2 linked regions of the Saccharomyces cerevisiae S288C genome follow. The protein of the gene in region 2 purifies or fractionates together with the protein of the main gene of each other region. This does not show direct contact. Each region holds a gene or a part of one and is shown on either strand. Other genes may lie near its edges.

Region 1 (4,506 bases), on a different chromosome or scaffold from region 2:
TTCAGAGTTTCTCCTTCAGAGGACAGAGTATCAAGCAGGGATGAAACGCCCAGGAATTATAAGTATGTGTAGCTCCACTCCCAAAATTGCACTACAGTGTAACTAACAGTCATGACTACTTCAGAATACTAACTTAACTCTTTTTCTCCTTTCAAAATCGATTGAGATAATCCATAATTATTGCAGTAACCCATTTTTAAATGAAGATGACACTAGGAGGGCCCATAACAGTAGCGTTTCCAATTCTAGACAAGAAAGACTCCCATCATATGAAGAAGCTGCGGGGACACCGAAACAGCAAGCTCCATACCCAAAAGAAAAGAAACGCAGTAGTGGTTCAAATAGTCACCAACACAACCACCACCACCATCGTCGTACATCACACGGACATAGGGACAAAGATAAGCAGAAGAGCAAAAGCAGAACCAAGGTTAAGCCCCCTAAAAATGTAGACACTATTGACAAGATGGATGTTACAGGATTATTTGGCGGATCTTTCCATCATGACGGCCCCTTTGATGCATGCACTCCACAGAGAAATAAGAATAATAAAGTGGCGCCTGTACTGGCCTTCCCAGCAGATGGTCCAAATAATACAGTAGGCGGCCGCACAAGTAAGAAGTCTACCTTAGATGAGGTGTTTGGTAGGGAAACAGTAGACGACGATTCTGAGACGCTGAACCAACTACAAGATAGAGCATATTTATTCAATAAGGCCAATTCCAGTACTACGACTTTGGATGCGATTAAACCGAATTCAAAAAATATTACCCAGTTCGATTCCAAAATGAAAACTGAACTAGTCCATGGGCCCATTACGATGGGTCTAGGCTCAACGACGTTCCTGGATGGCGCACCAGCGTCTTCCGCTGCCATAGAGCAAGATGTTATCAACCACGCACAAGAATCTCGTAGGAAAAACAGCATAGCAAGAAAAAAGTCTCTCCCCTCAAGAAGACATCTACAAGTGAACAACAACAATTTAAAGCTAGTGAAAACACATAGTGGACACTTGGAGCAAAAGGACGTAGACGATAATAGAACTTCTGTTCCGGTCACTGCCACCCAAGGAAGCGGTCACGAAGATGTTGTTAAAAAGGAAAACACCGGCAACAAGCTATTAAGGAGGGTGAAAAGCTTGAAAACTAGTAAAAAGCACTGATCAATGCTTCTTTCTTGCGTTCTTTTTGTTGCGCCCATATATTATTTTATTTATTACATTCATATAGCAATATTTACCTTATTTTATTGGTTACTTTTCTATACGCAAAATCACTACACTATGTTATGTTAAGGTCTCCGATACGGGAATATACCAATCAATACTTATCACTTCGGATTTTTTATGGGTCTTATCCCCACTGTTCCATTTTCTTGTTTAAGGCATCCCGGAGGATAAACTAAAAAGGTGGCCCATCCCACCCGAAATGAAAGTAATCATCTGCTAGCAAAAAGTAAAGAAATGAGAGCATGCTGTGATGTACTGGTGGACGAAATTGTGACCCATACCCACCGAAGAAACATCCGCATGACGTGTTACTGTTACTTCCCGGATTAAGGGATGCATTCTAACTCTGTGCGCCCTTTTCTCTGCAGTTGATCCGCATTCCCCGTGGCTGTGCACATTAGGGGACAGTAAGTAATTCACTTTCTGATCCCGCACTCATAGCGATGGAATAATATACCGGATTTCACACCTTGTTATTGAGTGAAGTACTGCTTGGTGAAATGATATCTTTATGTTCAATATTAATGGTCGTGTGGATGAATATATGGGCATGGGTTAATTAGTTTTAGGGGCACGGAGTAAACAAGAAAGGAGGGCCAGAATCATTAGTAGAGTACCTCAAGTTTGGTTTCTTTTTGATTTCACGTATAAAAGAGTCTCTCTCTTTTCTTTTCATGCTAGTCGAACGGTTCTCCCTCTAAGAATAAGAAACTATCAAAAGAAAGAGAAAAGTCGATTGAATAATTTTTCTATATATAATATACGCAAACAAGATTCGCTTTCACTTTGCAATTTTACTTCATAGCTTTGTTAAAACCAGCAAAAAATATTATTTTTCTAGAAAAAAGAATATATTAGAGGTAAAGAAAGAATGTCGGAACTTGAAAACGCTCATCAAGGCCCCTTGGAAGGGTCTGCTACTGTGAGCACAAATTCTAACTCATACAACGAGAAGTCAGGAAACTCGACTGCTCCTGGTACCGCCGGTTACAACGATAATTTGGCACAAGCTAAACCCGTCTCAAGTTACATTTCCCATGAAGGCCCTCCCAAAGACGAACTGGAAGAGCTTCAGAAGGAGGTTGACAAACAACTAGAGAAGAAATCGAAGTCGGATTTACTATTTGTATCCGTCTGCTGTTTGATGGTTGCTTTTGGTGGGTTCGTGTTTGGGTGGGATACTGGTACTATATCTGGTTTTGTCAGGCAAACAGACTTCATTAGGCGATTTGGCAGCACCCGTGCAAACGGGACTACCTATCTTTCCGATGTCAGAACCGGTTTGATGGTTTCTATTTTCAACATCGGCTGCGCTATCGGAGGTATAGTTTTGTCAAAGCTCGGTGATATGTATGGACGTAAGATTGGTCTGATGACTGTTGTCGTCATTTACTCAATTGGGATCATCATCCAAATCGCCTCCATTGACAAATGGTATCAATATTTCATTGGAAGAATCATCTCAGGACTGGGCGTTGGTGGTATTACAGTTTTGGCGCCTATGCTAATTTCTGAAGTGTCGCCTAAGCAGTTGCGTGGTACTCTGGTTTCATGTTACCAATTAATGATCACTTTCGGTATCTTTTTGGGATATTGTACTAATTTTGGTACCAAGAATTACTCAAACTCTGTCCAATGGAGGGTACCATTAGGCTTATGCTTTGCATGGTCTATTTTTATGATTGTTGGTATGACGTTCGTTCCTGAATCCCCACGTTATCTGGTAGAAGTGGGAAAAATTGAAGAGGCCAAGCGGTCCTTAGCAAGAGCTAACAAAACCACTGAAGACTCTCCTTTAGTAACTTTAGAAATGGAGAACTATCAGTCTTCTATTGAAGCTGAGAGATTGGCGGGCTCTGCTTCTTGGGGGGAATTGGTTACTGGTAAGCCCCAGATGTTCAGACGTACACTAATGGGTATGATGATTCAATCTTTACAACAGCTGACAGGTGACAATTACTTCTTTTACTATGGTACTACAATTTTCCAGGCTGTTGGTTTGGAAGATTCATTTGAAACTGCTATTGTTTTGGGTGTTGTTAATTTTGTTTCGACTTTTTTCTCGCTATATACCGTCGATCGTTTTGGTCGTCGTAATTGTTTGTTATGGGGCTGTGTAGGTATGATTTGTTGCTATGTCGTCTATGCCTCTGTTGGTGTTACCAGATTATGGCCAAACGGTCAAGATCAACCATCTTCAAAGGGTGCTGGTAACTGTATGATTGTTTTCGCATGTTTCTACATTTTCTGTTTCGCTACCACTTGGGCCCCCGTTGCCTATGTCCTTATCTCTGAGTCGTATCCCTTAAGAGTACGTGGTAAAGCAATGTCGATTGCAAGTGCCTGTAACTGGATTTGGGGGTTCTTGATCAGTTTTTTCACTCCATTTATTACTTCAGCAATCAATTTCTATTATGGCTATGTCTTTATGGGTTGTATGGTGTTCGCATACTTTTATGTGTTCTTCTTTGTTCCAGAGACAAAGGGCTTAACATTAGAAGAAGTCAACGAAATGTATGAAGAAAATGTGCTACCTTGGAAGTCTACCAAATGGATCCCACCATCTAGGAGAACAACAGATTATGACCTAGACGCTACTAGAAATGATCCGAGACCATTTTATAAAAGGATGTTCACTAAAGAAAAATAATCTCTTGTAGTGTAGGATCAACTATTTTCGCATACTTGCAATGTTCAGCATTGCACCATTTCAAATTTTAATATTAATATTAATCGTTTTCGTTCATATGTTCATTCATAGTTTACAAATAATGCAATCATATGCAGAGATATTTTGTCCGTGGTTAATAGGGCTGCCTGTTATTCCTTTAATTCAACTAAATTACGTATGTCTAATAATATCAAAATCATCATGACGTTTTTGTTTTTTTTCTTTATTTTAAGTAGGATCAAACCAGGGGAGAAAGGGTTGCTACGCCTAACAACAAGAACTTGTATATCGTTTCTTGTTACTTATACTTTTCTGCCCACTTCTCTCTTACAACTGCTCGAGCTCATCCTTGGTAATAAAACAGTGAGGACGGTTACTCGAGGTTTCAACAGGGGAAAATAAATTTATATGATGAATCAAGAGCCCCGTTCTTTTACCGTATTATCCTTCATACTACATACTAGGGAAAGAACTGAAAACTCCGCTACCTGCTGTAACAGCGCATAATAAAAAGCAAGAATATAGACAGTTACTGTTGTTTACGTTCTTTGATGACATCATTCTCATCAGACATACAGAAACACATCCTTTTTGTCTACCCCGTATT
Region 2 (3,672 bases):
AGTCGTGGTCTGATCTATTACGTCCCGTCACTTCATTCCAAACTGTTGAAGAATTTTGGGCTATCATTCAAAATATTCCTGAGCCACACGAACTACCATTGAAATCAGATTACCACGTCTTCCGTAATGACGTTAGACCTGAATGGGAAGATGAAGCCAATGCTAAAGGTGGTAAATGGTCTTTCCAACTTAGAGGAAAAGGTGCTGATATTGATGAATTATGGCTAAGAACTTTACTAGCAGTTATTGGTGAAACAATTGATGAAGACGACTCCCAAATTAACGGTGTCGTTTTAAGCATTAGAAAAGGTGGTAACAAGTTTGCCTTATGGACTAAATCTGAAGACAAAGAACCACTATTGAGAATTGGTGGTAAATTCAAGCAAGTTTTAAAATTAACCGATGACGGGCATTTGGAATTCTTTCCACATTCCAGTGCCAATGGTAGACACCCTCAACCATCAATCACCTTGTAAGATAGTCTGAATTTTTCTTAAGATAATTGTTATTTTAATCAAAATTATATATATAATCATAATATAATATATATACATTCTACTAGTTAGGATGCACGTATAAACTCATCATGTTAACACAGAAGGAAAAGTCAAAATGAAGGAGAAAAAAAAAAAAAAAAAAAAAAAAGAGAGGATGACGTTAAAAGGACAACTCTTATTAATTATATCATTCAAGGTATGAAAGACGCACCACATGTACATATCACGTAAGATGTTCCTATGTGTCTCTGACCGAATGGCATTTTTTATACTACAATATAAAGATGAAAAAAAAAAAAACAATCTATACATGACAATTTACAAAGTATATTTAAGCGTAAACCGCTTCAATAGCCTTTTCAAAAGCATCCATCCCTTCTTCGATTAGTTCGTCTTCAATCGTTAATGCGGGAACAAATCTAACGGTACTCTTACCAGCGGTAATGATCAAAAGTCCCAATTCTCTGGCCTTTTTGATGACCTCGGTGGGTGGTTCGACGAACTCAGCACCAAGCATCAAACCTTTTCCTCTGATAGTCTTTATTTGATTTGGATATTTGGCTTGAATTTCGCGCAAGCGCTTTTGTAAGATATCACTCTTCTTAGAGACTTGTTTCAAAAAAGCTTCGTCTGCTATGGTATCCAAAACATAGTTGCTTACAGAACAGGCCAGCGGATTACCACCATACGTGGTGCCGTGGTCACCAACTCTCAAAGCATTATTAACTTTTTCATTGACGATGGTGGCAGCGATGGGGAAGCCATTTCCCAATGCTTTGGCAGATGTAAAAATATCCGGATGAGCCTCACTTGGTAAATAAGCATGAGCCCATAGTTTACCTGAACGGCCCAAACCGCATTGAATTTCATCATGAATGACAATCACATCATTATCTTGACATATTTTCTTCAATCCGGTTAGCTTTTCAACTTCTACGGGAAAAACCCCACCTTCACCTTGTATGGGCTCGACAATTAAACCAGCAATCTCGTCCTTTTTGGTCTCGATATAACTTTGTAGTTTGGTCATTTCGTCATTCAAATTTAAGAATGAGACATGGGGAACCAAATCCCCAAAAGGAGTTCTATATTTACTATTCCAAGTGACAGATAAAGCGCCCATAGTACGGCCATGAAAAGAGTTCTCAAATGCAACAATGCCTTGCTTGCTAGGATTTTTCATTATACCATGTTTCTTTGCAAACTTCAAAGCAGCTTCATTTGCTTCCGTACCAGAATTACATAAAAATACTCTTGAGGCGTCGTGTTGACCACCGAATTGCTTGGTCTTTTCAACAATCTTTTCACTTAAATCCAAACATTCCTTAGTGAAGTAAAGGTTGGAGGAATGAACCAGTTTGTTAGCCTGATGGTGCAGAATTTCTGCCACTTTAGGATTTGCATGGCCTAATGCGGTCACCGCAATACCTGCGGTGAAATCGATATATTCTTTACCATTCACGTCATCATACAGCTTTGCATTTTTACCTCTAGTTATACATAGATCTTCAGGTCTAGAGTAAGTGGTCACTTGAAAGGCCTTTTCCTCTAAAATGCTTGTAAATCTTCTTGATGACGTACTGGATAAATATCTTTTAAACATGATTGGTAGCGATTCTTGAATTATTCTAACAAACGAAAAAAATGTTCGCAGTCACTTGCACTTAAGAGTCGAATTTTCTTCATGTTGCAATTTTTTTTTCACGCTTTTAAATAGAGCGGAAAAAGGCCATTATTTCGTAAAAAAGTGCACAATGACGCATCATGTACTTTAAGTGAGTCACATAGCGAGCTGGCAACCATTCGAATCCCGATAGGAGCATTATTTCGCGATTGCTATGAGCTTAAGACCTACATTAGTCACTGATCCAAAGCCGTAGCAAGTGGCACCGCCTCCAATGATATGTATGGTGCCCATAGAAGTGGACACCAAACTAAATCCAGCAAGCATTAGTGAGTGATCTTCCCATATGCGTCTTGATATGGGAATTGATGTTAGCGTCTCACTCAGCGGATCAAGGCTGATTATAGAGTTGGTCCGGTCAAATAGCCCGGAAGGACTTGTTCCACCGACTATTAATAGCTTTCTTGGAGTAATGTATTTTATCTGGGATCCATAACGTTGAAATAAGGGGTGCTGGAGCTTCTTAATCACCGTAATTGGTTCAGTAGCATTTTCCGCATCATATTTGAAAATAATTGCCTTGTCCGAGACAGTTGTTTGATCCATAAATCCACCACCCAATATTATGCCTTGTTTGGAAACCGGATCAAATTCTAGACCCGCTGATACTAGCGAATTTTGGAAGAATTCATCTTTTGGAGTTACGTCTTTGAAGATTTCTTCGGTGACATTGTATAGCAGCATGGCAGGTCCTTCTGTAACCCCACCAAGGATCAGGACGTTTCCATCCGGTAAGCTACATGCACTATGTCTGAATCTCGTGTGTGATAAACTCTTGATCATCGACCACTCTCTTGTTTTCATATCAAATATCCAATTATCAGAGAGACCTTGGTGTGGTGCCTTTCTACCTCCAATAAGCAGTAGCTGGTTATTTCTAGAAATAGTTGTAAAAGTGTGACACATTCTTGCTACAGGAACCTCGCTGCTGCTTACTTCAATATTCTTCATGTCTATTTTGTCGTAGTGTATACTCAACTGTAATATTTCGTTTACTCTGTATGGGTTACTACCTCCCATGTAAAACACATCATTTCCAGCGACATCTACATCGCCAAATTTTCTATTGATGGGGCACTCGCATTCTAGAAGCTGATAGTCTTCATCCACAGTTAGGTTTATCTCAGATATTGATCTGTCAAACAAAAACCCTTGAGTAAATGCGAATTCTTTATAGTTCGTAGCGTGGCATAAAACATAATGATGACAAAATAAATGGAACTCCTCTAGTTCATCAAAAGGCTCTACCTTTAAAAGTTCCTTCTTGGTTGCCTCATCTGCGCTTTCCCACAGTTGAAACATATCACCCACGTTAACGTAAGCGAAACCTAACTTATTGAATCGTTGAACCTGTGACTCGATAGTATTATACTTTAATACAGACTGTAACGGAGAATCATTTCTCTTGAAATGAGCTAGCATCTGCTTAGAAAAGGGTTCAAAAGGTCCCTTTGGAATCAACTGCTCAAGAATAATAAAATGACTATTCTC

What was found.
Region 1: the proteins of ARG8 (region 2) and HXT5 purify together in Saccharomyces cerevisiae (affinity purification with mass spectrometry, with the first as the bait; one large-scale study listed by BioGRID). This does not show direct contact.

The regions. Positions count from the first base shown.
Region 1 is NC_001140.6:294,041-298,546, reverse strand, and holds HXT5 (hexose transporter HXT5), read left to right. Parts: upstream 1-2,099; coding exon 2,100-3,878; downstream 3,879-4,506. Other genes in the region: PAL2 (Pal2p), read left to right, coding at 1-62, 187-1,162.
Region 2 is NC_001147.6:57,187-60,858, reverse strand, and holds ARG8 (acetylornithine transaminase), read right to left. Parts: upstream 2,101-3,672; coding exon 829-2,100; downstream 1-828. Other genes in the region: CDC33 (translation initiation factor eIF4E), read left to right, coding at 1-476; tRNA methyltransferase PPM2, read right to left, coding at 2,320-3,672. UniProt on the Saccharomyces cerevisiae protein: catalyzes the conversion of N-acetylglutamate-gamma-semialdehyde (NAGSA) to N-acetylornithine in arginine biosynthesis.